Drosophila melanogaster: one gene and its partner. The protein of the gene in region 2 interacts with the protein of the main gene of each other region in a pairwise test. Each region holds a gene or a part of one and is shown on either strand. Other genes may lie near its edges.

Region 1 (3,072 bases), on a different chromosome or scaffold from region 2:
TTTTGCGACCGACTCGCCGGGCAGCCTGAGTCGTTATGAGCTCGGGAACGAAAGCCCCAGATACGTGTGACAGCAAAAAGGCAAGCCAACTACATGAATTTCCTGACTGCTTCGATCCTCGAAATTTTCACATTATCATCACTCCGTAGAATGTTTGATTTTCACCGCTTAATTTATGATATAATTGCATATTTGGCGATTCAATGCAAACATTCACAAATATTTGCCACAAAACGCGTCTGCCACCAGAAGGCCAATCGGGCGTGGGATTCGGTGCCAAATGTAACGTTTAACGTTGGTAAAGCACAGTTTCGACTAATATCTGACTTTGCAGGATACGGATTGCGACCCTGTTACAGCTGCTACTGCGTCGATTACCCGGATGTTCAACAATTGGCAAGGCCCTCTTTACGTATATAATTAAAGTGCATACTTTAAGACCGAGATGTATATATGTGTCCAAACGCTTTAGCCGCCGTTGCACAGTACAAAAAGCCCCATGGAACATGATAATTTGTTAACTTCCCTACCAAATAATAACCAAATAAAACAAAAGGATACACTGTTCTGTTAAGGATTATTCTTCTTATCTGAAGTGTGGGTTTGGCGGTTTTCAAAGGTTCATCGGTTTGGTGAGGATCCAAGCGAGCAGCGAAATCTGGTTTCCCTGGCGCCTCAGAATGGCGCTTTCGATGCCATCGTGCAGATTGATTTGCACTTGGGCAAAGAATTCCGGATCGTTACGTTGGTACTGGCTGCCCAGGAAGATGTTCAGCTCTGTGTCAGTCATGGGTCGGCTAGTATGCTCCAGGACCATTATAATGGACTTAAGTAGGTTGGGTACCAACCGACGTTTCGGCAGTGTCGTGAAGATGTCGGCCATGTTTAATTTTTTTGTCGTTTTTTTTTGTGATTTTTTTTTTTTTTTTGGGAAACCAAATGTAAAAGTATAGAAAAATTTTGTTACTGACTCAACGGCTGGCCTATATCGTTATTAGCTAGGTAGGGGAACGAAAGTCCCAGCTATTTGTGACAGTAAAAGGCAATGCCAACTACATGAATTTTCAGCCTGCTTCGATCCTTGCTTTTTGGCCTTCTTGCCGGTGTGCTTCAACAGCATGGCCAATTAATCAGATGGCGACTGTGGCGGGTTGAACTTGAATGACCTCGAGGCATAAAAACGAAAACTGCAACAACAAAGGCAACAGCCAGAAAAGCAACAAAGAGCAGGAAACACAGCAACTAAAGAAAGGCTGATCGAGTTGATAGTGTCTTCAATAAATTAAAATACCCACTAAAGTATCTTGATTTGCAAGTTAAAGTGCGCCTCTTATTTTGTAACTTTTAGATTTTGCGTTGCAAAAATACATGTATATTTCTATTGCATCTTTGGGTGCAACAATTTTCCGAGTGTAGCCAGGAAGCGAAGGGCCCACAAACATCAAGTGACATTCGAGCAGAGACAAAAAGTCATTATCACGGCGACGTCGGGCCGCTCTCATCTCCACATCTCCGCATCTCCACCACTCGTGCCCACGATCTCGGCCATATATACATATATGTATGTATACCCAGGATCCCCTTCGCATTCGCATTCGCATTCGCCTCATGTTCAGCATATGGAGCACGTGGTTTGGAGTCATAGTCATCGCCATAGTCGCCACCGTCTTTGTCGCCATGTTTTTTGCCTTTTCCGGCATTTTGTTTACGATTACTTTTTGTTTTTGTGCTTTTACGTAGCATCTGTGCAGCTCAGGAGTGCATTGAAGGGGGATCGGTGTAATTTGAGTTATTGGTTGCTATACAGTAAAATATAAAGGGCAGTATTGAGCGAAAAGAAGCCGCCGGTAATCATAACAGTTTTAAGTTTGTGACAAAATCGTACACAGCATATTTGCTGAGATGTTTTACTGTATAACTAATTTAGCCGAAACTCTTCGTTCCAAGCACTAGGTATCGTTTAGTCCAAACATCAATACGATAACTTTCTTATTTGTTTTATTTGGCGTAGAGTTCTCTGCGCTCCCCAGCGTACGCGGATTTCCTTTCGAGATGGAGTTGGTAGACGGCAGTTTTCCCTGAATGATTTTCACTTGTTTGTTCTTGTTGTGTCCTCGTTGGCTGCTTTGTTCGCTTGTTCGGCTGGCCCAGGAGAAAGCCGACCCTGTTTTGCAGGACCTCCGTCCGGGATATATACACATACATATGTATATATACCGCCCAGTATTGCTCTGGGCCCCCTTCATCAGGAGCAGCCGCCAAGTGCAATTGTCATAAAGTGTCATTGGCTGACGTCGCGTCCTCGCGTCCTTTGTACAGTTGTTGGTGCGGTGAATCAACTTAAATGAGTATCCGCTTTGTAACTACAAGTGCGTGGCTTCGTTTTGTTCCCTTTTAGCTAACATCTTTTACCCAACAACCGGCGGGGAAAATAGAAAGAGTGAGTTAGAAGCCGGCCAATTGGCTTTGTGTGCGACTTAGCTTTGTTTTGGACCCCAGGTCTAGGTCTAGGACTAGGACTAGAGCTCGACTGAAGGATAAAGGATTCGGGCTACAGGATGCATGAGAAAAATCGCAGACAAAGGGCTCCCATTTCAGTGAAAGCAATTGAGCGAAAAAAAGCCCCAAGTCTTAATCCAAAACAACCGAATAGAATAAACTCTTTTTAAGTACAGATATCTAAAATTAGTAACTTTGTATTAATAAAAAATCATAATATGTATGTCATTATAAGCTACGATTTATATCTAGTCTCTATAAATGGCTGTATGATTCACATTTGGTAATCAGCACATAAGAGCTTAAACACACCTCTTTTTTAAACCCCTACGCTGCAATTACAAATCTACTTTGCAACTTTTTCGCGCGAGCACAACTGTACTTTTGGCATCTATGCAAAAGCGTGGGATAGCAAATGGAAAAGTGATTTATGGTAGCAACACTGCCGCATCGCACGGGTTGGTGTTGAGGTGGGGTCGGTGTTGAGGAGTTCAGGAGTTGAAGACGAAAAGGCTCCACCGTCCTTAAGCGGCTTATACGTAACTGCATGGGGCGAATTATGCTGCATCGCCG
Region 2 (3,757 bases):
CCAGATCCCACTATGAAGGCCACGTCTTTTATTAGATCTGAGACCTTGCGTCGAAAGTCCTGCAATTCATTTGTTTTAAGATTAGTACAATTAACTTCAAGGCATTATATTAATTTAACGTTGATAATGTAGAAAACTAATCAAACTTCTTGTACTCATTTCTAAATAAACCGACTCTAGCCATAAATGCCTATTCAATTAAAATACCCAACTTCAAAGAAAACTGCTAAAATTTCTCAATATCACACACTCACAAAGAAATTGTTGTTCTCCTCGATGAGCCCGTCGTGGTCGCTCTCCATTTGCGAGTGGCGAAACAGGGCGCTGATCAGCCGCTCGATGTGCGGCCGGAATAGAACCGTCAGCTTATCCTCGTTGCGCTGGAATAGATCCTCGGAGAGTTTGTACCACAGGTGGAAGGTGATCTCGGCCACCTCGTAGTCGAAGTGTCCGACGCAAAGCAGCACAAGATCCAGTCCTTTCAAACTGTAGTGTGGCTTCTGGGCATCGGCCAATAAATCGTAGAAGAAGGCATCGCACAACGAGGTGAAAATTCGGCAGTAGTTGATCGTCTTGTCGGTGTCCTCGTGCGCCACACTCAAGTGATAGGGAGTCTCCAGCATGCAGACAGCTCCAAAGAGTTGTGCCTCGAAAGAGGACTCCGGATCGCTGGCGCCATCCTGTCGTGTGTTTATGCAGGAGAGCAGCGCACACACGCATTCGGTGGCATTGTCGTGCAGTTTTCCACTGGTCTCCGGCAGCGAGAGCAACCGGAAGGCCAGCTGTGTGAGGGCGTTGTTGTACACGTGCGAGACGGGAAAGGCATGGATCACCAGCCAGGCACTGTAGGTGCGCAACGCCGCATTCCACACGCGCTGCTGGTCGAGATCCTCCCGCTGTAGGCACATACACAGGAACTTTAGGACACACTCTGCGCTGGCGTCCAGCTGCTTGTGCACCTCCTCGCGCCGATTGGCGCCCAGCCGCAGATACCGTGAGTCTATTTCCTCGGGAAGCACCTTGAGCACCTCCAGCAGGGGCCAGATGGCGCACTGATGTGGCGCCAGTGTCACCAGAAGATCGTTGATCGGCTCCCGCCAGCTGGCCATCAGCAGGGCCAGATCGGCAACCGCCAGACTGAGCTGCGTCACAATCACATTGTCCGTCTGCTCGTCGATCTGGCCTATGTGTGTGATCAGTGAATCCCGCAGAGATTCGTGCGTGTGCGGTGGCAGTTCGCTGAAGGAGTTCTGTATCTTGTTCCGCATGGTCTGCGCAGCAAAGTAGTTGGCGTGCAGGTCTCGTTTCTGGTGAAGCAGCTCGTCCGCAATCGTCCAAGAATAGATCTTTAAGGAAGTCCAAAAAAAAACTTAGCAATCGCACGAAGGTTTCGTACACCGGGCGATTATCACTCACCGACTTCTGGAAGTCCTGGAGCCATTTGTTGGCCTTCTCCTGCTCCTTGGGATTGTTGCCTTGGAAGAGGGCGCTGATTGCTTGGTACACCACGTCCACCGAGTACGTATCCATTTCATCGGCAGCTTTAATCAGCGCATAAAATTTCTTAATTACTTATTATTATACTTTATTAGCGATGGCTGATTGCGTACATCCCGTGTATCGATAACGCAAGGAGGTGGCATGCGATAACTTTGAAAGGTGAATGTCCGATAGTCTGCAGGACTTTTTGAAATTATTCAGGGTTGTCAAGTGCGTCAAACATTAAGGACCATTAAAAATAATTAAAATATTTTTACAGTCAAATATTTTTTAGCTTATGTGAATTCGTTTTTTGAGCAATAAAGCTACTCGGTTTTTATATCTTAATACTTGCCACCCCTATGTAGTCGATACATCGATACCATTGGTTGCTCGCAACAACATCTCTAATCAGTTTTCTGATCAGAATTCTGCAATGGATTCGGACAGCACCGTGACTTCCTTGGAGGAGAACACGGAGAACTTTTGCACGAATCCCACGCGCGACATCCTCGCCGAGGGCATCACCAATCTCTTCAAGCCGACGATCGAGCGGTTGGACGAGCGCGTGGCCTCCACCATCCAGCTGCAGGCTGAGCTGCGTGGCCAACTGGATGCACTGGCCGCCCAGCTGAGGGACATCGAAAAGGCGCAGAGTCAGATACCCGAGTTCGCGGACAAGGTGAAGGAGCTGCTGAACGTCAAGCACAAGGTGACGGTCATAAGCAACGTGTTGGTGACCAGCCAGGAGCGGCTGACGGGTCTGCACAAGCTGATAGAGAAGGAGCAGCGGCGGCGACAGGCGCTTCTCGATTCCGCGCTCAGCACCAACATATCCTAAATCCAATTACTGTTCGTCATGGAGACGCCCTACACCGACCACTTGAGCCCAGAAGATTTCGAGCACGTTTACGAGCCAGCGGAGGACTCGTTCCTGCTGCTGGATGCCCTGGAAAAGGATCTGGAGTACCTGGACCGGCTACAGCCGAGTCTCTGCGTCGAACTGGGCTCCGGTTCGGGTGTGATCATCACGGCGCTGGCCAAGAAACTGGCTGGCTTTTCGCTGTGCCTAGCTACGGATATCAATCCCAAAGCCTGCAATGCCACTCGAAGAACTGCGACTCGGAATGGCGCTCGCTTGGATAGCATTCGCTGCAGCCTAGCGGATGCACTGCGTCCGCGATCCGTGGACGTGCTGCTCTTCAATCCGCCCTATGTAGTCACCAGTGACGAGGAGCTGCAGACGCAACAGTTCGATTCGCACAGCGAATCCTCAACGGATCGCAATCTGGTTTTCTCCTGGGCTGGTGGACAGGACGGGCGACGCGTCACGGACATTCTACTCAAGCAATTGGATGACATTCTTTCGCCTCGAGGCGTGCTCTACCTACTCCTGCTGCGGGAGAACAAGCCGGAGGAGATTATCAAATACTTAGAGGGCCTCCAGTTCCGGGCTGTTAAGTTCATGGAGCGACGCATTCCTGGCGAGCATTTGTGCATACTGAAGGTCACCAGGTACTTGGCATCATCATGACTCGTGCAATAGCATCAAATTAAAGTTGTATTTTAATTAAAAGATAAACTTTTTTAGGCGTTTATTCTTAAATTTGATACTAAATAATATGGAGAATAATTTTAATAAAAGTTGAAATAAATGAAAGAAATGGCTTATGAAACTTAAAAGCTCTTAAACTTTTAGAAATTTTTGCGCTTATATTTGAATTTGAATATAAAAGTAGCTCAACTTCATTTGCCCAACGAAGAGCCCGGAATTTCATCATTCGTTTTTTTAATAGGCATCTGCTAAGGCTAATCGATTTTCAATCCGAAAAAGGTACTTAATCAAAGGAAATTTCCGATTGAATTTTTCCATCATCCCTTAGTATATGATTTCTTTCATAGGGAGGATTGTGGGAACCAGCTCGTCAACCCCCGAACGAAAACTGGGATATGGAAGGGATGGATCGGAGTAATGTAGGGGCGGCCAATCTATGAATTATGTACCTACATACGTACATGCTCCTGGCTAAGAACTACTACCCCTGGGAACACCGAAGCGAGGTGATTGCCCCACCCAAAATGGCCAACTGCAATTGAAACAAACTTTTATTGGCATCGGAACAGATGCCAAATGGGTGGTATGTACGTACGGTTTTCGCTTTTACGTAATTACAATAATTTATTTCATCGTTCAAAATTGTTTCTTATTCTCGTTTTCGATTCGTGGTTCTTTTCTCTTTTTGCCCTTTCGCGCTACTAGATGTTATTCTCGCACGGA

The links. The genes of interacting proteins can lie anywhere in the genome.
Region 1: the proteins of Tnpo-SR (region 2) and CG15578 interact in a two-hybrid assay, tested with the Drosophila melanogaster proteins (one large-scale study listed by BioGRID).

Annotation. Positions count from the first base shown.
Region 1 is NC_004354.4:4,276,980-4,280,051, forward strand, and holds CG15578 (uncharacterized protein), read right to left. Parts: upstream 983-3,072; 5' UTR 884-982; coding exon 614-883; 3' UTR 568-613; downstream 1-567.
Region 2 is NT_033779.5:2,757,806-2,761,562, reverse strand, and holds the start of Tnpo-SR (Transportin-Serine/Arginine rich), read right to left. Parts: upstream 1,640-3,757; 5' UTR 1,531-1,639; coding exon 1,417-1,530; intron 1,347-1,416; coding exon 255-1,346; intron 60-254; coding exon 1-59. Other genes in the region: Snapin (SNAP associated protein), read left to right, coding at 1,916-2,320; HemK2 (HemK methyltransferase 2), read left to right, coding at 2,339-3,013.